Tamandua tetradactyla: one gene and its partners. The main gene of each other region encodes a partner of the protein of the gene in region 2 in a complex. Links are inferred from orthologs where the notes say so. Each region holds a gene or a part of one and is shown on either strand. Other genes may lie near its edges. The genes, in order: UPF3B, EIF4A3 and MAGOHB.

Region 1 (7,926 bases), on a different chromosome or scaffold from region 2:
TTTATTTAAATGTAAGGGATGAAAAAGGAAGAAAAGTTAAACACAATTCAGATCAGGCTAAATGATTAGGAAATCATTACTATATACTGGAATAAAGAAGCAGCTGGTTTGGGGTATTAATAAAAGTTGGCCAAACACAGTTAGCAATCCAACTTTTACTGGCATATTTGCTGATAAAGAATGAAAATTTTTTTACCATATGATTATTCCATTCTTGTTATATAATCAATAACTCACAATATCATCACATAGTTGTATATTCATTATCATGATCATTTCTTGGAACATTTGCATCAATTCAGAAAAAGAATTAAAAAGAAAACAGAAAAAAATTCAAACATACCATACCCCATACCCCTCCCTTTCATTGATCACTAGCATTTCAATCTACTAAATTTATTTTAACATTTGTTCCCCCTATTATTTATTTATTTTTAGTTAATATATTTTTCTCATCTGTTGATAAGGTAGATAAAAGGAGTTTCAGACACAAGGTTTTCACAATCACACAGTTACATTGCAAAAGCTCTATCATCTTAAAGAAACATGGCTACTGGAGCACTGCTCCACACTTTCAGGCAGTTCCCTCCAGCTTCTCCATTAACATCTTAACTAAAAAGGTGATATCTATTTAATATAAGAATAACCTCCAGGATAGCCTCTTGACTCTGTTTGTAATCTCTCAGCCACTGACACTTTATTTTGTCTCATTTCACTCTTCCCCCTTTTGGTCGAGAAGGTTTTCTCAATTCCTTGATGCTGAGTCCCAGCTCATTCAAGAATGACTTTTTATCAACTTTGAAATAATACCGAAAAAACAAAACAAACGACACTCCATTTACCTAGGATTGCAGAACTAAAGGAAAAGTGACCAATGGCAGTTTAGACATTCCCTATCTATAGCTTATAAGCAGCAGATAATAAAAAGAAAGCTAAGGTGAAAATGTTTCTTCCCTATAGATTGGATCCTCCTGGGTACAAAGAGGAACATCATCAAATTTCATGTCTTAATTACATACAAAATAGGGAGAATTCTGTGTTGCATGTAGAATACATTAAACAGTATTCTAACTGGAAACTATGGGCTATAAGGGATTTGAATTAAATAATTAAATAAATGTTGGTCCTTGAAGCAAGATGATAAGTAAATATATAAAACTTGTCTTACAAGTTCAAAGAGTCATTTATCAGTACTGCTGTTGAGACTAGTAAATAATCCAAATAACGTTATGTAATCCAGGGCACAAAATTTATTGTATGAAAAAAAATTGGTGGCAATTTCATGCAGGTGATCAAACCACAGAAATAACAGATCAATAAAAATACTCAAGGGCTGTGAAAAATCACATATATATTTAAAAGACTGCAATAAGGTTTTCACATGTGTAAAACTTTTTAAATGTTGTATATTTTACCACCCAGGATTTTAGAAACGCTATGAAGGCACTGAGGATATGCTCACCTTTATTGTCAAGGAATACATAACCATCAAAGCGATCCCTGAATAAAATAATGTCCTCTTGGTTTTTAAAGTTGATGTATGCTCTGGCATACATATGAGGATACAGACTGCAGAGAGGAAAGCAATTGTGTTAATAAACTGGTGGGTATCTGGTTGAATTACAAGTATATGTACATTAAATAAAGAGACAGTTTCAAAAATCAAATTGAAAATATTAGTAGAATGCAAAGAACAGAAGAAATCTTTTTCTAATTTACCACCCCATCCCACTTTTTTTTTTTTTACCTAGTATCATTAGAAAAAAACTCAAAATAATCATGCTCTGGCATAGGCTGAAGATGTTCCTGAAGCTGCTCCTTGGTCAAAGTGGGAGGTAATCTCCGAATCACCACCTTAAAAAAATGAATAAAGGAATTAGTAAAAATCAATTTCCTGTCAATCCTGAAGGAATCATAATCCCTAAGGAAGGATGAGATTTAAAAGTCATTACTTACAAAAACCCAGGAGAAAATATTTTCTGTAGCCTAACGATCAGAATTAGTCAAACATAATAGTAAGGCGGTTTTAAAAAAATTCCTACAAATGAGAACCGCTTGGCATTAGGAAAATCTTAGAGTCTGCTCTTAACTCGCAGTCCCGCGGTATTCTAGGTTTACGCACCATTTTTCTATTACCCATTTTTCAACAGGTCTAGTGGTAAATCAGTAAGTCAACCCTGGTCTTTTGTGGGTGCCAAGGACTCTTGATTCATTAATCTTTCTCTCCCACATCTAACACCTCCTAAAACAAAATCCTTCATTCAATTCAATGAATTCAAACTCTAACGAGCATGAAAACATTCACACCACTGCCCCCGAAATAAGATGCTCCCCATTCGCCTTCCACAGACCATTAATTCCCCCTACACTCTTCCCCAACTCGCTTCCATTAATATTGCTATCACAGGCTACTCCCGCACCTGATGTTCCCTTCACTTCCTAATAATTTTCCTCAATAAACTTTTAAATTTCCGATTCTCCTCACTGTCGCGCACCGTCTCACTTCATAATTATCATCTCACAGGTTTGACCTAAACCCTTCTCGTCTGGGGAGCCCCCCTTTTTCCTCATTCCCACGGCCGGGCTTGGCCGGTAGGAGCTCCCCCCTCCCCTCATTTCGAGCAAGTGGATGAGGCACTGTGGTGCGATTTTCATTCAGGCGAGGGAGGAAGAGGGGGACGAGGAGATGAAGAGGGCACCCCCATTCCCAGCCATCATCCACTGGCGGCGGGGCGTTCCGCCCTCTCCCCGGCCAACAGTCGACCGAGTACCTTGCTCATTGCCTCTTTCTTCTCCTTACTGCGATCCAGCTTATCTTCTCCCTTGGCACTGTCCCCCAAAGTCCCACAGCTGCTGCCGGTAGCCCCCGGCGGCGTTAGCAGGGTTACCCGCTTCTCCTTCGGCCTATGCTCCTTTTCTTCCTTCATGGCCACGGCTACGCTCTTCACAGATCTGCTCCGCCAGAACGCTGCTGCGCCGGGAACCTAACGAAGCCAGCCCAGCTCCCGTCAGAGCTCCGCCCCCAACAATGCCCCTAGTTACGAGCTCCGCCGCTCGTTTGATTGGGCAGTGCCAAGACCTCGCGAGATTTCATGCACCAGGCTTCCCTCCGAAGAAAAGTTTCAACACCTGGTGCTTACTTCTCGCACGGCCGAATCCTGTCATATCCCAGACTCCCTTGGGGCCCGCTCCTTCGCACAGGATTGGCTAACACCACCGTCTTAAATAAAAAGACTCTTTCGAAAACTACAAGTCCCGGCATACAAAGCAGTTGCCCCTTCTGGTTGAGAGAGGCCAGGGTCCCTATTTGTAAGTAAATCCAATCCTTTAATCTTGAAAGATATAGGTTCTGCGGGCTGCACTTAGCTTTGTTTTCCTCGTATAAATCCAGTGTTATCCAAAATTTGCCTTGCTACGGGAACGGCTTGTATTTTCTTGATATTCTGAAGTGTACTTTCAGAAACTTCAGTATTTTCCTTATATTGATTAGGATCCATAGCTGATTCCCAGATACTTAATAAATACTCATAAGATTTGGTATATGAAGGATTTAATATGACTAAAATATGTGAGATTTGTTTTCATCACTCGTTTATAATTTAAGAAAGGATTCTATTATTGTATTGATGCCTCACAAGGAGGAAAAAATAAAGTAAAACCTACTTTGACTTAGTTGGGGTAACCCTCCTCAGTTAAAAAAAGTCAATTATACATTATTCTTTTTTTAAATTATTTTATTTTATTTTTTTAAATACCAAAAAACACCTAACAAACACAAACATTCCTATTTTGATCATTCCGTTCTACATATATAATCAGTAATTCACAATATCATCACATAGTTGCATATTCATCATCATACTCATTTCTTGGAACATTTGCATCTATTCAGAAAAAGAAATAAAACAAAAACAGAAAAAAATTTTATACATACCATACCCCTTACCCCTCCCTTTCATTGATCACTAGCATTTCAAACTAAATTTATTTTAACATTTGTTCCCTACATTATTCTTAATAGACCCAAACTGGAGAGAGTCCAGTGTCGGTCAAGTGATGAATGATTAAAAAAAAAAAGTGCGTTGGTACGAGGAAATACACCGCAACAAAACGAACTGATATCACGCATCAGAATTGATGAATCTCAAGCTAAGTATGCTAAGTAAAAGAATGCAGACGCAAAGAGAGGACATGAGGACATGCTGTATGATTCCACTTACATGAAATTCTAAAGAAGGGCAAAATTGTAGTGATAGAAACCAGATCAGTGATTGCCAGGTACAAGGGAAAACATTTAGGGAAAAAGGGGAGAAATGGAAGAGAAAACAAATGATAAGCTAGAGAGATACACAGATATTCACATAAGGCAGGATACCAACTTAAGGATACATTAGGAGCCCAAAGCAGAAAGTTGGCTCAGTACCAAATTCCTACTTTTGCTAATGTCTAGAATATATTATTCAGATCTGTACTAAAATTTTCCCACCCCTATTTCCCAGCCTATGCTGAGTTCCTAATGCCTGTTGCAAAGACTGTTTCCCTGAATTTGTGGCCTGTTTTGCACTTTTGCTTTCAATACCTGCCTGTTCTTATAAGCCTTGCTTAAGTATATTCCTTTGACATCCTCCATAACTCTGCACTTACATCTTGGTGTATACCCCCATTTTGAATGCTCATTAGCTTTAAACCACCAGTTACATATCAGTTATTGGAAATAGAGTGTCCCAGGGCTCGGTCCTTAGAACTCTTTTCTATCGATACTCCTTTGTTGAGCTTATCCAGTCTTCTGACAACTCTAAATGTATATATCCACTGTGTATCTCTCTCTCTGAATTCCAGACTCATAGCGAATTGTTTACTTGACATCTCCTCTTGGGTATCTAATGTCTCCAGTATCTCTGAACACATTTGTTTCGGTTTCCTTGTTGCTAAAGCAAATACAATTCAATGGGTTATCGTAAACAATTGGAATTTGGTGGCTTATGGTTTGAGGTTAAGAGAAGTCTTAATTGAGGTGTTATTAATGCAATGCTTTCTCCCAGAAGACTGGAGTTGTTTGCTGCTGCCTGCAATGCTTGGACCTTGGCTTTTCTGTCACATGGCAATGCATATGGCAGACTCTCCTGGCTTCTCCTTTCTCTTCTGGGTTCCATTGACTTTCAGCTTTTGGCTGCTCCCTCTGGCTATCTCTCTTTCTGTAACCGTCCATTTAAGGCTTTCAGTGATAGGGTTAAGACCCATACTGATTCAGCTGGGCCACACCTTAATTGAAAAAACCTCATCAAACATTTCTATATACAACAATTCATACCCACAGGAATGGATTAAGTTTAAGAATATTTTTCTTGGTTACATAGCTCTAAAACATCACAACATCCAAAACATAACACTTGATCTTCCCCCACACCAATTGTGTTAGTCCTAGTGTTGCCGTAGCAAATTATCACAAACTTAATGGGTTAAAATATCACAAATTTATCTTGTGGTTCTGTAGGTTGAAAGTCCAACATGGGTGTGCTAGTTTGAAGCTGTTATGTACCCCAGAAAAGGCCATGCTCTTTTAATCCATTCCTTTGGGTGCAGACCTGTTGTAGGTGGGACTTTTTTTTCAATTAATTTTTAAATTTTTAGAAAAGATATGACAAGAAAGAAACACAAATATTCTTAACATATGATCATTCCATTCAACATATATAAATCATTAATTCACAGTATCATCACATAGTTGCATATTTATCATCATGATCATTTCTTAGAACATTTGCATCAATTCAGAAAAAGAAAAAGGAATAGAAAAATTCATACATGCCATACTCCTTACCCCTCCCTTTCATTGATCACTAGCATTTCAATCTAAATTTTAACATTTGTTCCCCCGATTATTTATTTTTATTTCATATGTTTTACTCGTCTGTTGATAAGATAGATAAAAGGAGCATCAGAAACAAGGTTTTCCCAATCACACAGTCACATTGTGAAAGCTGTTTCATTATACGATCATCTTCAAGAAACATGGCTACTAGAACACAGCTCTACATTTTCAGACAGTTCCTTCTAGCCTCTCCATTACATCTTAAGGTGATATGTATTTAATCCGTAAGAATAACCTCCAGGATAACCTCTCAACTCTGTTTGGAATCTCTCAGCCATTGACACTTTGTCTCATTTCACTCTTACCCATTTTGGTCAAGAAGGTTTTCTCAATCCCTTGATGCTGAGTCCCAGCTCATTCTATTATTTCTGTCCCACGTTGCCAGGAAGGTCCACACCTTTGAGAGTCATGTCCCTCGTAGACAGGGGGAGGGCAGAGAGTTTGCTTGTTGTGTTGGCTAGAGAGAGAGGCCACATCTGAGCAACAAAAGAGGTTCTCCTGGGCGTGACTCTTAGGCCTAATTTTAAGTAGACTTGACCTATCTTTTGTGGGGTTAAGTTTCATATGGACAAACCCCAAGATTGGGGGCTCAGCCTATAGCTTTGGTTGTCCTCACTGCTTGTGAGAATATCAAGAATTCAACTTGGGGAAGTTGAATTTTCCCCCTTTCTCACCATTCCTCGAAGGGGACTTTGCACATACTTTTTTATTCACTGTTAAAATCACTCTGGGATTTATCGGGGCATCACTCTGGACAAACCAACAAAATATCATGCCCTACTCAGGGTTCCATGTACTTACGGTATTCAATTAAGCCATCTACATAAGTTATATTAGGAAATGCACTAGTCAAAATATAAATTTTGTACCAAAACATTTTTTGCTATAGTGTGACACATAGTTAAAATTTTAAAATATTAATTACTATCAATTTTCAACACCCTGCAGTAATGACGTTCCTATGTTCTTGTAGGTGGGACCTGTTGATTAGGGTTTTTCAATAGAGATGTGACCCAACCCGTTAAATGTGGGTCTTAATCCTTTTGCTAGACTCCTTTAGGAGAGAAATGACAGAAAAAAACCCAGAGAATTTCATAGAGAAAACCCGCAGGGAAGTTAAGAGAAGACCTACAGAAGCTCAGAGAGGAAGCCACTGAAGCCAGAAGCTGGAAGCAGTAAAACCCAGGAGAGAAGGACTAACAGACGCCGGCCATGTACCTTCCCATGTGCAGAGGTTTCCCAGATGCCAGTGGCCTGTCTTCAGAGTCAGGTGTCATCCTGTTGATGCCTTAATTGGGACATTTTCATGGCCTTAGAACTGTAAATTAAAACTATAGGTTGTAATTAATGAATCCCCATTTTAAAAGCCAATCCATTTCTGGTATATTGCATTCTGGCAGCTTTAGCAAACTGAAAGAGTGGGTCTCATTGGGCTAAAATCAAGGTGTTGGCATGACTGAGTTCCTTTCTGTAGGCTTTAGGAGTGAATCTACTTCCTTGATTTCTTTGTCTTTTCCAGATTCTTGAGATTTTACTCATTTTCATTGATTTGTGGCCCCTTCATCCGTCTCCAAAACTAGCAACATAACATCTTTCTAACCCTGCTTCTGTTATCATGTCTCTTTCCATGATCCTCTTTTCTGCCTCCACCATCCACTTTAGGGAACTCTGAGTATATTGGTCTCACCTGGATAATCCAGGCTAATCTCCCTATTTTAATAGTCAATTAGTAATCTTAATAACACCTGCAACCATAAATGCCCTTTGCCATGTAACCTAACATAGTCACAGTTCCAGGGAATAGGATGTGGACATCTTGGGTGATGTTGGTACTGCAGCATTATTATGCATATCAAACACTGTAAACTTTCTTTTTAATTAAACTTTTAAAATTTTTTATTAGAGAAGTTGTGGTAATTAAACTTTTAACTAAAGTATAACACATGTATAGACAAGTGCCCAAGTAATAAGTGTATAGCTTGATGAATTTTCACAAGGTGAACACACTCATGTAACTAGTTTTGAGATTGAAACAAAATATTGCCAGGATTCCA
Region 2 (8,099 bases):
CTTATATATTGCCCTAGGTGCTCTTTAGGATTGGCTGGAATGGTCCTGGTTGCGTGCTGGCAGGTTACGACAGGTAGCAAGGTCTACCTGAAGCTTGTGTAAGAGCAACCTCCAGAGTAGCCTCTCGACTCTATCTGAACTCTCTGCCACTGATACTTTATTAATTATACTTCTTTGCTCCCTTTTGGTCAGGTTGTAATTGATGATCCCATGGTGCCAGGTCTGGATTCATCCCTGGGAGTCCTCTCCCATGTCACCAGGGAGACTTTCACCCCTGGATGTCATGTCGCACGTAGCGGGGAGGGCAATGATTTCACTTGCAGAATTGGGCTTAGAGAGACTGAGGCCATATCTGAGCAACAACAGAGGTCTTCCAGAAGTAACTCTTAGGCATGCCTATAGGAAGATCTAAGCTTCTCCGCTACCTACATAAGCTTCACCAGAGTAAGCCTCATGATCGAGGGCATGGCCTACTGATTTGCCAGTAGCCCTGATTTTCGAAGACAACTGTATAACTACCTATTTTCAATGTAACTGTGTGATTGTGAAAACATTGTGGCTTACCCAGGTATGGACAGATGAGAAAAAAATAAGGACAATAAATAAATAAATAATGGGGAAAGGGGATAACGGGTAAAAAAAATTGGGTAGACTACAATACTAGTGGTCAATGAGAGGGAGGGTCAAGGGGTATGGGATGTATGGGGTTTTTCTTTTTATTTCTTTTTTCTGGAATGATGCAAATGTTCTAAAAATGATCATAGTGATGAATACACAATTATGTGATTATATTGTGAGCTCCTGATTGTATACTTTGGGTGGACTGCATGGTGTGTGAAGATATTGCAATAAAAACATCAAAAAAAAAAAGTATGTGTATGCAACATCTAGAAGTATGGGTGCCAAAAGGTCATTGGTGGTCACCCCTGGAAATGGGGTTGGGGGAAGAGAACCTAATTTTTTCTTTAATTAGTTCTATCTTTGTGGCTGGATCTAAAAAGCCTGTATTGTTTTGTTCGTTTGTTTGGAGGAGAGTATTACTTTTTAAATTAAAAAAGAAAATCTGTAACACTGATTACAGCATTATGTGTGTGGGCTATTTGTGTTAACTCTAACTGCATTTAGTTCCTGCTTGGATCATACTGTGTGTCCTGAGATAGAGAATCCGGTCTCCAGGCAGCTGTGGTAATCACCCACCTGCTATCCTCTGGTACAGCAACTACCAAGGGAGGGGTTATTTTGAAGGACCATGTTCGAAGTAAACAAAACTTTATATACAAAATCATAGTTCAATTGTTTTTCAAAATACAGTACAAGTTCCCATCTTAACATAAAAGCAAATATAATATCCTTTAAATCCCTCGGAATGTGCAAGGACACAGTTGGGAACCAACAACAGTATTTTAGAACAAGGAGGCCCTGGGATGACGAGAACGGTGCCTGCCTCACTATCAGGGTCAAGGGTTTCTTTTCACCTTCCAAACCCTCAGACAGCTTTCCCCTCACTCTTCTAATGCCTTGTGCTATCAAGGACCTTTGGAAATTGTTTGGATGAACGATACCCTATCCCAAGCTTTAAACACAGATCATTCACCCATCAGGCCTGACTTCTTCCCTGGACTCCAAACTTGCCTGGACAACTGCCAACCCAAATGTCCAAGTGCATGGCTCACAGGCCTCTCAAGCTCTCCATGTCCAAGGTAGACAGAGCTCCTAATTTTGTCTTCCCAGGTCCTTACCCCATTTTCCCGCCCCCACCCCCCGTCAAGCAAATGGCACCATCACCCAACCAGTTACTCAACCCCCCCAGAAATCAGGCTGGGGTCCTCTGCCACTAGCATTCAAAATCACTGGCAAATTCTGTCACATCAGCTCCACTGTCTTCCTCTCTCGGTCCACTGCAAAGGCATCATCTCTCACCTAAACTAGAGCAAAAGCCTCCTAAGTCCCTGTTTCCAACCCTGCCTCACCTTCCCTCCAAATCCACAGAGCACCCGGAACACTCTCTTTAGAAATAAAATTCAAACTCTATCACCCCAAACAATGCTTTGCAAGATTCAATTCCTGCCTATCTCTCTAAACTCGCCCCTAAGCTCATAACAGGGGCTTCTTTAGATTCCTGGAATACACCGTGCTTGGGAAGATGTGCGGGCAGCTGGCACCAGCTGCCTCTGCGGGGACTTCTGTGGCTGGCGCTTAATTCAAGTCTCAGCTTAAGCGTCACTCCCCTTATCTATCTGCTCTATTTCAACTAAAACTGCCCCCACCCACCTCACAGTCACTCTCAGTACTGACTCACCCCGCTTTATTTTCCCCAATGAAATTATCACTGCCTGAAACAACCTTAGTTACACCTCGTCCTTCTCCCAAACAGTATTTAAGCCCCATAAAGGCAGGAAACTGCCTGGCTGGCTGCTAAATCCCCGTTGCCCAGAGCAGCACCTGTTGCCTAACGCCTAATGCGTATAAAACAGTTCCTATGAATGGAGACTCTTAAGGTGCCTGGAGACTCTGCACCCCTTGCTGAGCCTAGCAGGGCACTCTGCACCAGGGAGAGCATATGGGACGAAAGATGCAGACGTGGAGTGACGGCTGTGCGCCGGGGCGGGGGGAATCTCACGTCACTGATCCCCGGAGCCTCGGAGCCTCCGCCACGACCCCCCACGTCGACCTGCTCACCCAGTCGCCCCTCCCGGAATGCCGCCGCCCCGGGGCTCCCCTAAGCCCGCGCCCCACCGACCGTAGGCGTAGATGCCGCGCAGAAGATCCTCCCGCAGGCCCATGGTGTCGAACGTGGGGGTTACATCCACCTCCTCGCTGGTTTCGAACTCCACTTTGGTCATGTCTTCCTCTTTGAGCAGCCGCTTCCGCGCGGAGCCCGACGTAGCCATCGTGGCGGTGGCCGCCATGATTCCGAGGCCACCGAGAGACGAGCGCGCGGCGGACCGGTGGCTGGTCCCAGGCGGAAAGCGGAAACAGGCCGCTGCCGCCGGGAACTGACGCCATCGCGCGCGCGTGCGTGTGGCCTCCGTGCGTGTGAGCGTGCGTCGGACGCTCTTGGTCACGTGAAAGGGGTGAGGCGTTCGCCGCAGGGAAAGCGGTGGTGGATGAAGTTCTCGCGAGATCTGAAGCTCCCGCGGGATGTAGCGCCCGGAGCCACGCCTCCCTTCTCGAAACTTGGGGCGGCTGAGGGAGAGCGTAGCGTGGGTGGTTTGGGGGCTGTAGTCGTCGATGTCTGGGTGAGCGGATGAACAACACGGGGACACACTTGTGTGTCACTTATGGGTGCTGTGAATGGCCGCCGCGAGTCGGCGTAGGCGGGAGGCCCGTGGAAACTGGGCGAGGTCCCAGAGGGTCGCAGTGAAAATGTGAGCGCGCATCTCTAAAATCTGAGTGTCTGCTGGTTATGCGTTTTAGGCTGATGTTATCATCGGCATCTCTTTATGAGCCCCGTGTGAAATTCGTTTTTATTAAAACCGGCTAGAAACCATATTCAAGGGACCTGTTTGGGGAAAGTTTTGAATTTCTAGCTGTTTGTCCGCTCTGACGGGACTGCCCCTTTTTAAGGTCCCACGTGGGCAATACGAAGTTGCCCCGGAGCGCCGCGCGGTGAGAAGTGTCCAGGCTTGGACGTGAGCATCCTTCCGTAAAGGATCGCGTCGTTAGTACTTTTGTTTCATTTTTGCAGTTTGCTGTAATGTCAGGGCTTACACGTGGGATCGTGCATTAACGCCTAGATTTTGTCTGGAGGAGGCGCTAATAATTTCTCCCCTGGGGAAAAGATGAGGTCATTTAAAATACACGTATCCCGAACTAAAATGCAAATATTTCTGTATCCCTTAAAAATAAATAAAATATAAATTAAAAAAATATATATATTCGTATCTCTTGACCAAAGAAACAATTCAAAAGGAGACACAAGTATGTTAGGAACAAGGTGTTCCTAACAGCAAAACCCAGCAAATAACTTAAATGCGAAATGTAAAGGAACTTTTAATTAAATTATGTATTTTCAACCCAATGGAGTATTATGTGGCTGTGAAAATGATAAATATACTATGTATCAAATGTATATTACATACCATATATTAAGATGTATGTTAGTTATTGTAAAGGAATTAAAAATCCTCCAAGTATTTTGTAGAAAATTAGCAGTGGAGTTTAGACCACAGAAGACCAAATTCTGAAATGCTGAAAGAAAATGAAAATAAAATTCAGATCCTTGTTAATCTTAACAGAAGCAGAGAAATAGAATAATTCTAAGATGATAGAGGGAAAATTAAAACTTGTAGAAATATTTCAAAATGTTCAAGTTGTGTTCTGAGAAGATGTAAAATACGCATTTATGCTGACCAGAAAATAAATAAATAAATAAATAAATAAAATACATCTTGTATCAGAGTAGAGTTGTGCATTTAACCTAGCCAGCTTATTCTAAACTTTTCAAAAATGCCTTCAGAAACCCAGTTTCTCAGTGATGATTGAGCCAGATTTACCATCTCACTGAGTCCCTCTTTAATGGGTTAGAGTTACTGCTTTTTGACACCTGTCCAGTTCCGTGTTGTATGAGAGTTGTGTTTTAACTATTTGCAAGTTAAACTTCCAGCGAGTGTCGGCTCTGTCCTTTCGCCTTGTTCCCCTGGCTTCAGTCACAGGGTGTTCCTTTAATCCATGGCCTCTTGGCTGGAGTGTTTAAAGCACTGCTTTTGTGGAGGCTAATCTAAAATCAGGCAATAGTTTTATCCTCTGAACCAGGTACATGGGATTCTCAGTGGCTTGAAATATGTTGACCCAGAATGGGAGGGTGGGGCTTCTCTCACCTGAAGGCCTTGCCCTGGACTCAGGTCTGTCCATCCTGAGATGACTGACCTTCCATGGGCCTAGAAGGGTGTCAGAGCAATCTAAATACCAAATATTTGTAAGGCTGAAATTCTTTCTTATGTTTCGAGATAAATGAAGTCCGAAAGCAAGTTCTTATGTTTTCTTCTCACCCCATGAAGAATTATTCCATACCTTCTCTGAGGTGTACAATCTCAGTTTTGCAAGCAGGACTCTGGCGCTCTAGGGCTGTGTTGTGTAAGGAAATAGTGTTAAATTTCTCTTTAATAACTTTATATTGGTTACTGTTGCAATAATATTTTGGGTATCTTGGGTTACATAAAATATGCTATTTAAATTAATGCCTCTCATTTTTTTGCTTTTTGAGATATGGCTATTAGAAAATTTAAAACTACATATTAAATTCCTATTGGATAGTGCTGCTCTAGGGTACCCGGTAGCATATAAAAGAACCTTGCCAGGCATAAGGGGAAAGAATAGAAATTTAGTGATTTGAAAAATTCCAGTATCAATAAGGAGGGAATGAAATTATTCCAGTCTTCTACTCGTTCTGAATTTTTTTTTTTTAATCTTAGTCAGGCTGCCCCTAGACTTGTTTTTTGTCTTCACTTAGACTTGTCTTTTGCCTTCATGTTTTCATGGCAAGGTGTTCTAAACGTTTTATGCCATTTTCCTAACAATGTCCTTTTTGTTGTGTCTGAGTGTTCGTCTTAAGTTCTCTTCCTTTTGTTTGGGGCTCTCTACATTTCCTGGGGCTGCCATAGCAAAGTACCACCAACTGGGGGGCTCAAAGCAACAGAACTTATTCTCTTGCAGTTGTGGGGATCAGAGGTCTGCGATCACTGGGTTGGAAGGGCCACACTCCCCCTAAAACCCCTGAGGAGTGTTCTCCTTCAGCCCTTCCAGCTTTTGACAGCTCCCTGCAGTGCTTACTGTGACTTGGCTTGTAGCTGCATCAGTACTTTCACCGCCTCCATCTATACATGGCTATCTTCTCTCTAATGGGTGTCTGTCCCTCCTCTCCCCTTCCTATAAGGATATCCAGCATATTGGATTAAGGGCCCATCCTGCTGCAATATGGCCCCATCTTAATTTAACTAATTCTGTCTGCTGCAACCCTGTTTTCAAGTAATGCACAAGTATCTAGGGTTAGAACTCTGAAATATCTTTTGGGGAGTGCATTCAACCTGTAACTGGGGCTAATAATGGTTTAACCTAGAGTCCATGAAAATGAGAAGAGCTCAGGGGAAGGGGGCCGATGCTATCTCTAGGTGAACCATGCTCTCTAGGAAACCTGGAGAACCAAACAGATATGGTTCCTGCCCTCCTGGAAACTACAGTCTCATCAGGTGAGGTAGCCTCCTGCCCCCTGAAAATTGTAAACTTGGTGGTAACTGAGGCACTGGAGACAGAGCAGGTGCTGGGATAGAGCATGATGGGAGGTGCCCAGCATGACTGGGAGGGCGGCCCAGGTGTGATAAACCCTGTACGTCCACTCTTTAGGGAGCTCAGAGCTGGAGGTTCATGCAGTAGATCACAAAAGACCCATATTTTTGTCATGATGCAGGACGAAGTGTTCTGGGTAATTGCAAGGAGAACAAGAATTCTCAGGAGAACAATTTTTCTATTAAAACTCGATGCACAGGGCAGGCCACGGTGGCTCAGCAGGCAGAGTTCTTGGGTTCAATTCCTAGTGCCTGCCCATGCAAAAAACAAAAACAAAACAAAACAAAAAACCTCGATGCCCATTTTCACAAAACCTGGGCATTGCCCACCAAAGTCCTTGTGGCATCCAGACAATTTCCAAGCACTCATCACTAGTAGGCGATTATCCCTTCATTGGTCACACGAGAGAGCATGCCTCAGTTGCTCACAGTATGTGTTAAAACACTTGCTCTGAGGCAGCCTTGGCACATCAGCATCTACTTAAGAAGCAAGAATTGACAACCCCCTGCTATCTAATCCCTCTGCTTACATTCCCAGACTCATGTTTGGAGTCTTATCAGAAACCTCAATTAGCAATCCAAGTAGAGAGTGCAGGCAATGTGATATGTTAACCACTTGACTAGTGGAAGAGTGAATGGCCAGCTAGAAAAGCTAAAGTGACCTACAGGGAGGAGCAGAGTGCCCTGCAGAGTGGACGTGCCGGGTTTCCACGCTGGACCCATCAGGCCAGCCCCACTGGGTGCCTCAACGCCAGCGGGGGGGGCGGGGGTACCCATCGTGCACCCTCTCAGCACCCACTCTGGCTCTGGTGACTCAGTTTCTACAGAGTTTAGGATTTTCGGGGGGCAGGGGGCTTCCTCTCCTGATTAAACGGTAGTCTCCAGAAGGGCAGGGACCTTGTCTGTCTGTTCTCCGTGTTTCCCCAGCACACAGTAGATGTTTAGTCAATACCTGTTGGCTTGTTGACTGCTCACTTGATGTCCAGGGCAAGAAGCGGGGAGGTACACGGGACCCAGGGAGGTTGGCCAGCTCACCACGTGGCTGCCTCAAAAGCCGGCCCATCCCTTTCCTGATCTGTGTTGGCTCCGGGAGAAGGTTCTGGAGGGTCATCCTGTCCAGGAGTGGGAGCAGAGCTGCTCTGCTGGGCTGGGTTTCTCATGAATCACCTCCATACAAGTCCATGCCCTGGACAGAAGTGACCTCCATCCAAGGGACTGTCCCCAAAGCAGGGCTTCCTGTCAGAAGTCCACACCCATTTCCAGATACTAAAGAGTAAACACTCCTCCTTTCCCGGCGCTGTCCTTTCTCGGTCCTTCCTGCTGGGGTGGGGCGCCTCACCAAGTGCTGTCCAGACCCACCTGCAGCGTCCACAGTGTCCGGCCTTGCCCCTGCCCCTGCGGGGAGTCAGGCTTTGGGCCACCGGTTGCCCTTTCCTGGGGCGCTGTTCTAGGTGCTGAAGCCAGAGGCCGACAGGACAGGCAGAACCTGCCCTCGGAGTTGGCGTTCCAGCGGAGGGCAAGGCCCACGAACACAGACATGAGGAAGACAATCGTGGGCTTTGTAATTACTGTGGAGAAAATAAAATAAGGTGCAGGGGATGAGAGTTCCTGGGTGGTGCTCTCCCCAGATGGCTGCGGGGAGGGGCGGCCTGAGCGGAGTTGAGAGGAGGTGGGATGGAAAGACCGGGGCGGGGAGGAGTGTCCGGAGCAGAAGAGCCCGAGGCAGACCTGAGATTGGCGTGATTGAGGGGCAGGGCTCAGGGCATGGTAACCACAGTGATGCCGGGTCAGGGGAAGTGGAGGTGAGCGGGGGGG
Region 3 (7,288 bases), on a different chromosome or scaffold from region 2:
AACCTTCTTGACCCAAAGAGGGAAGAGAGAAACGAGACAAAGTAAAGTGTCAATGGCTGAAAGATTCCAAAGAGAGTTGAGAGGTTATCCCTGGAAGTTATTGTTAGACATTAAATAGATATCACCTTTTTAGTTAAGGTATAACAGAGAGGCTAGAGGGAACTACCTGAAAATGCAGAGCCATGTTCCAGTAGCCATGTTTCTTGAAGATGATTGTATAATGATATAGCTTTAGCAATGTGACTGTGTGATTGTGAAAACCTGGTGTCTGATGCTTTTTTTTTATCTACCTTATGGACAGATAAGTAAAACATACGGTTTAAAAATAAATAAATAGGGGGAACAAATGTTAAAATAAATTTAGTAGATTGAAATACAAAAATGAAAGGGAGGGGTATGGTATGTATGAATTTTTTTCTGTTGTCTTCTTCTTTTTTCTGAATTGATGCAAATGTTCTAAAAATGATCATGATGAATATACAACTATGTGACAAGAGAAAAAAGAATGTTCACATTGTGTGTTTACTGGTTTTATTAATAAAATTTTTTTTAAAATGAACTAAATATAAGAATTAGATATTTAAAAAGAACTTACCTCTTTTCTGATCATAACATCATTTTTGTAATTGCTGTTGTTGGCATATCTAAGCTTTCCTATGGGAAAAGAAAAAAATTCAATCTGTAACAGCAGAAAAGGCTAAAAAAATATTGTAAGCAATTTTGAAGGTAAAGACCATTTTATGCTGCTATTTTATTATTATTTCCTCCTTCATGCTTGGTGAAAAAGATGCTCAATAAATATCTGTGGGTAAGTTGGCTGAAGCTAGCCAAATTTTTAAATATTCCATTCCTACAATATATGACAAAAGGGTCATTTTTAAGGCCCCTTTTCCTAGCTATCACAAATTAGCAAAGGATTTTGGAAAAGGTACTAACATTTATTTTTCAGGTTATAAATCTGAACTGGTGCTAAGTGGTTTAACTTAGCACATCTAATCGAATCTAAAAGCAAACCTTAGAAAGGTTTTATTACCTCTATTCACAGGTGAGTAAACAAAGTAACTTGCCCATGGTCACACAATATTCAAATTTATATATACTGTCTTCCTATACTCATGCTTTCTCCACTACTTCAAAATGTTCTTTTAATTATTTTCCTTCAACGTAAATGTAATTATAAATATGGCAATACTAATGCTTTAGAATTGTGACTAGAAAGTATACAGACTACACAAAGCTCCCATACAGAAGTTGACTAGTTTGTTGGCTGGTTTATATTTAATTTTAACACATCATGACTTTCATATTCCCTGATGCACACTTCTCATTGCCAACTCGTTGACCAGGTACAGAAGCAAATTTTGTCTTGATCATCTGCATTTAATGGTAATAGGGTACCCTACTGAGGTGTATCCTTTAGGTACTGTCTTTGCGAGTCATTGTTACTGATGGAAGTATGTAGAATGGTTTGACAGCAGGTAAATGGATAAGAAGCACTGTTCTGGGATGAAAATTCCCTAATAGCCTCAGGGTACTTCATTTATGTAACTGAGTAAAAGTGATATTGAAATGCTGGATGGTGGTCACAGGTGAGGATACTGTGAAAACTGTATCATGTTAAGGAATAAATAGGTGAAGAATTCAGCTCCTTTACCTCCTTAGCTAAATTTGGAAAAGATATGGGGAAAACAAGCCTGAATAAGGTAATAAGGGTTTCTCATCTGCAGAGCAATAGTTACCTAGATTCCTGCCTGAAATGTCTATACTCTTCCCCTTTCCTAATATGTGACCCTCTCCCTAATTTTTCTTTCATGCTTTCGTAGAACCTTTTCCAAAGCATGATTACAGCACTTCTTATCCATACTGCTGTATGGTCTGTTTCATTTCTGTGTCTTTTACCAAGACACAACTCATTGAAGGCAATTAAAGAGTCTTACCATTACAGTATTCTCAATTTCTGTATATGACACTTTGCCCCAACACATAATATGCATTCAAAAAGGAAAAATCTAATCCAGTTGAACTGTCCTGTGACAGGCAGGCAGAGTTCAATACGCAATAAAGCACTTTAAAAGAGTTTGTGCAGTCAAGAGATCAAATTTGCTGTACATTTCGTGAGTGCTGGGAGTTTCACCTCGCCCTCTACTCATACTGTTTTGGTAGTCTGGACTATCTCCCTCAAAGGTCATGAAAATACCTACTCTTATTCCAAAACTCATTTCTAGGAAGCTTTTTCTGACCCTCATCAGATAGAGCTAATCACTAATCACTTTTCATGTCTGAATTCCTAACGTACTACTGTGGTAGACAATCGAACCCCAAACACATCATTTCACTCTTCTGTATACACTTCGGGGACTCTCCCCTTCAGAGCAGGTGTCATTTCTTTCTTGACCTGCTGCTTTACACACACTGCCTGAATGAAAAAAAGTGAATGAATGGGGAGAACGAAAAGTAATCAGTCACTGGAAAATTTTAAGCATACACAGGCCCACCGCTGGGTAGGGTGTTGTTATAACTGCCCAAGTATTAGACCTTCTGCCACACGGATTCTAGGATTCTGAATACCACTGATTCAACTTTTCAGTGTGTGACAGTATTAGCTTTTCTGAACTCACACCAATTAATCCTTTTAGTCACAAGAATCAACTTAGGCTTCCTATATTCTTCAGCTACTTACTTCGGCTCAAGCAGCGGCTTCAGCTGCCACAGAACACTTTCAAGTCCACCGCGGCTTGCTCGCTCCACCCCACACCCCTAGTCCTTCGCCGCCTCTTCTCCTGGCTTCCCCTTTCCCGACACCCCCGCAGAGTTGCAGTGCCAGCAGCCCCCCCCCAGCCCACTCACCATCCGGCCGAAACTCAAACTCCAGAAACTCGTGTCCAAATTTGCCTTTGTGCCCTACGTAGTAGCGTAGGTAGAAATCGCTGGCTAGAGACATTTTTGTTTCCGGGAAGCCGGCAGAAGGCCTGGGCAACGTGCCGTCCGGCGCCTGGGAGTGACGTCAATCGCCCCGGATTAGCGCGTCATCGTGGTCGCCGCGCTTCCGCCTCGCAGATTCTGCGAAGGCAAGAACAATGGCTGTGTCTCGTGGGAGAGGCTCCGGAGAGAGCAAAGGCAGGTCAAAAGTGACTTGAACTGCTTTGCGGAGATCGGAAGTACGCTATTTTAAAAATTAAACGGATTTTGTCATATTAGCAGAAGACGAAAGTATGAAAATACGGTACTGGTTTTTTGTGTGTGCGCTTAGTGCTAAGGATTGCAAGTCGCTTTATTCTGGTCTCAAGTCTCGCGCAGTTGTAGGCGGTGGATGTGGCTTTACCCAATTTTAACTGGTTAAGTGAGTGAAGATAAAACCCAGAGTCGATGGGAAATTCGTCATACAACAACTTTCTCTACGTGATTCCTAACACCGGGTTTTCCTTTTGAACGATGATTGTTAGTTTTCCTGGAGACGGACGCCTGTAATAGAGACACAAAGTATAGAAGTAGCCCTCTGAGGAGATGTCTGAAGTTTTGAAAAACATATTGAAACTGAAAATTCTGACAGCCTTGGAATAAAAGAGTTCCTTTAATAGTAGAAACTTCTTAGATGCTTCATTCACTGTGTAACTGTTAACCTTTAGTGACCTATGGAGTTTTGGCAGTTTGACTCAAGATCAAATAACGGTTTAATCCAGGTTTCTCATATAGATAGATATAAAATTGATAAAAATAAATTGAGAAAGTGAAGGTAAGTTCTACTGTGAGGTAGTTTTGAAGATGGAAAAGACAAGGTGAGCTTTTACACAAAGTCTGGTTTTCTGATATTGGACAACCTTCTGTTACGAACAGTTATGTGTCAGATGACCCTTAACCTTCACTGGAATTTCATGGAAAGAGTAGCAGTCCGAAGACCTGAGATTCAATCCCAACAGAACTACTACCTAGTTCAAGTTAGTAGTTCTAACTTGTTCAAATCACTGTATGTTCATCAAGGAAACAGGTGTACTACAAACAAGCTTTGCCAAACTCATGAAATTGTTGATTGGAGTAAATGAGATAATGTGTGCGAATAAGCTTTGAAATTTATAAAATACTACGTAATGCATTTTAACAAGCATTTTCTTATTTGTCAGAAATAAAAAGAAAGACTTTTGCACTTGTAGTCTAGAAGAGAAAACAAACATGGAGAAAGGTATTAGCACAAGGAAGCAACTGCTATATTAAAAATTTGTGGAAAAATATGCTGATAGTGCAGGAGAGGAGCAAGTGTATTGCAGAGAGAGGAAGCTGAAGAAAGGTATCAAGGAAGGCTTGTGAAAAGGTGTGCTATTTTAATTGGACATTGACAGATAACTTCAGTGTGTCTTCAGTGGGATGATATGGCCTGGGCAAAGGCACAGTGTTATGAAAATACTTGGTGTTGGAGAATCCAAGAAATGCAGTATACCTAGAACATAAGATTCTCTGAAGTAGAATAACTAGAAAGACAGACTGGGCCAAGGTATGTTGGACCTTATAAATAAGGTGTTACTATATAACTGTTTCTATAGAAATTTTACTTGGTATGAACTACTATAGGCCACCATTATGGAAAATACATAAGAAACATAAGGCACCATCCCTAACCACTACAGTGACAAACCAGTCCAGTTTGTCCAGCCTGTAAGGTTTGCTAGGATGTCAAAACTTTCAGTTTTAAAACCTGTGAGATCCCAGACAAAGATGATGTGGTCATTGTACTTACCACATGAATAACCCACTGAAATTTAACCACAATATTCAATACAACTCTGAAATATTTACTGTAATCCATTTATTTATGTGGTAATTTGGAGCTATGCAACCAGAAGAATATGTTTTTAAAATTAATCTGTTCCTCTGGGTATGAACCCATTGTAAGTAGGACCTTTTGAGGAAGTTACTTCAGTTAAAGTATGTTCCAACTCTATCAGGATGGGTCTTAATCCTATTACTGGAGTCTTTTATAAGTAGAATGAAATTCAGACAAATAGAAAGCAAGAAGTTGAAGGTCAGAAGCCTTCAGAAGAGACCACCATGTGCATTGCTGTGTGATGCAGGCGCCAAGGACCAAGGATCACCAGCAGCCATCCCTTGAAGGCCACTCTAGGGGAAGAAAACGTCACCATGATGATACCTTGATAACAATAAAGCATAGATTTGGACTTCCGGACTAAAACCATGAGTCAATAAGTTCCCATTGTCTAAGCCAACGCATTACATGGTATTTCTTTGAGCAGCCAAGAAAACTAAAGCAATTTAGTTTCTATGGGAAACCTCGTTCATTGTCTTTAGATTTCCTAATCTGTTTCCTTCAAATTTTTAGTCTATGTGCCAGTATTCCTCTTCATGTCTACTTAAAGAGAGCTATGGATACTAGAATTTTTGACTATGTAAATAAAGCTCATGGAATATGCAAAGATTTAAGGTCTTTGTCAATGGGCCAGTTTTGGTTTTTACCCTCCTAGAAAGGCTTTTAGGCTCAAGACTAATCCCCTCTAGCTCTACCTGTTTTTATGATATAATATGAAAATATATTTACTCAGCTCTTCATATTTTAACCAAAATAGCAAAGCTAAAATATGTATTTCTCTAATCATGATAAAGATTGCAAAGTGACTAAAGCATTTGTGTTTTGTAGTCTTCTCAGATGTTACCCAACAACAATGTGGAAATGTTCTGTGTAGACAGCACTTGAAATGTAGCTAGTGTGACTGAGGAACTGAATTTTTAATTTTTAAATATTTAAAAATTTTTGTTCATCTAAATTAATGTTTAAGTAGCCACATCTGGCTAGCATGATGGACAGTGCACTTGTATAAAGCCCTTTTTTTCTTTTTACATTTTTACTTGGGCTGGGAATAGTGAAAGCATTTTGTGAGTGTGTTTAAATCTCAGTAGCTCTAGGCTTCACATTGCGGCATACTTACTGGTATCACCACAATTTACTTATGAAAATAAATGTTTGGGCTGCTTAAATGAAGGCAAATAAAAGTCTTTCATTTGGACTGCTGTTTTCAGCTTTGCTAACACAACCTATCTTTGGTCAGCTTCAAAGCACCTACATGAGGATGGTGCAAGATTAATTGATGAAGAATTCTTCCTACCATCCTGGAGCCCTGGGTTCAATTCCCGGACCCTGCACTTCCGAAAAAGGGAAAAAGAAATCAAAGCACCCTTGTGAGGTATTAGGAAATAAGCACGTGATTTCCAATTTCAATGAAAATTGAAAAGAAATGATTTAATCAAATAATACACAACTTTAAAATTGGCAAAATAATTCTTTCCTGCTACAGTTTTTTTGTCTGTGTGTGTGTTTTGTTTGTTTTAATTTTTGCTTTCAGGTAAGGGGGCCGGGGTCAGAGATGATTCTTTATCATTACAAATTTATTCTTTAAAATGTTCTGATTTCTCCTACATCTAAAATTCTCTCTTCCTTTGATCGGTTTTTCATATCCCCACTGTCCTCCCCTCCTTTTTTTTTTTTTTGTCTTTATACCTATTTCAAATTATCAAATCATTCCTATTTTCAATTTTCAGAAACATGGGCTAACTTTCCTGTGATAAACATTGGGGGTGGTAGTTTTACTCTCAGTTTTCTTTATTTTATCAATCACTTTTGAATAGTCCTTTATCCGTCTGTCTACCCTTGTCTTCTGAAATAGTCTTCCTATAGAATTTTAACCATATCTGTCTTTTTAACCACTCAGTGGTATTACTTTTTAACTAAGAGAGCCACTGTCATGCAGAAAAAACAAAATTTCCACACCGTTCTTTCTCAGATATGCTCATTCATATATTATGAGCACTTGCAGCTATTCTAGATTATCATGGCATGATATATTTAACTCCATTATTCAAACTAGGAATTGTTTTCTAGTGTATGATGATATTGAATGCTTCTAACATGTATCATAACTGCTAATTCTTGTGTCCAAAACAACAACGAAAGAGTCTGTTGAATTAAGCATAGGCCTGGTCTGGATCTTTCAGTACTTGAATTATTTAAGTGAGTTATGTTAGTCCAGAATTTTATACATATATAACAGCAATGTTAAGATTAATAAAATTCTATCCATTAACTTATTTTTTCTTTTTAAAAACAGTGAAAAATCCCCACTATTATTCAAGTTTAACAGCAGAATACCCTAAATCTAATGTAAGGATACTAATATCTTCATGAGCATAATTTGAGAACTATTGGTTCAGACTATTCCAAATTAAACTATGTTATCAAGTTTCCATTAGTTACAGTATCCAAGTAGATATTTTCACAGTTCCCAGG

The links.
Region 1: EIF4A3 (region 2) and UPF3B share a complex: the UniProt entries of both Homo sapiens proteins name them as parts of the mRNA splicing-dependent exon junction complex. The link is inferred for Tamandua tetradactyla from reciprocal best matches to the Homo sapiens genes EIF4A3 and UPF3B.
Region 3: EIF4A3 (region 2) and MAGOHB share a complex: the UniProt entries of both Homo sapiens proteins name them as parts of the mRNA splicing-dependent exon junction complex. The link is inferred for Tamandua tetradactyla from reciprocal best matches to the Homo sapiens genes EIF4A3 and MAGOHB.

Annotation. Positions count from the first base shown.
Region 1 is NC_135353.1:46,953,506-46,961,431, reverse strand, and holds the start of UPF3B (regulator of nonsense transcripts 3B), read right to left. Parts: upstream 3,092-7,926; 5' UTR 2,928-3,091; coding exon 2,772-2,927; intron 1,855-2,771; coding exon 1,748-1,854; intron 1,570-1,747; coding exon 1,463-1,569; intron 1-1,462. UniProt on the Homo sapiens protein: Involved in nonsense-mediated decay (NMD) of mRNAs containing premature stop codons by associating with the nuclear exon junction complex (EJC) and serving as link between the EJC core and NMD machinery.
Region 2 is NC_135332.1:72,433,374-72,441,472, forward strand, and holds the start of EIF4A3 (eukaryotic initiation factor 4A-III), read right to left. Parts: upstream 3,002-8,099; 5' UTR 2,910-3,001; coding exon 2,741-2,909; intron 1-2,740. UniProt on the Homo sapiens protein: ATP-dependent RNA helicase. Involved in pre-mRNA splicing as component of the spliceosome. Core component of the splicing-dependent multiprotein exon junction complex (EJC) deposited at splice junctions on mRNAs.
Region 3 is NC_135333.1:73,225,153-73,232,440, forward strand, and holds the start of MAGOHB (protein mago nashi homolog 2), read right to left. Parts: upstream 3,007-7,288; 5' UTR 2,942-3,006; coding exon 2,848-2,941; intron 655-2,847; coding exon 596-654; intron 1-595. UniProt on the Homo sapiens protein: Required for pre-mRNA splicing as component of the spliceosome. Plays a redundant role with MAGOH in the exon junction complex and in the nonsense-mediated decay (NMD) pathway.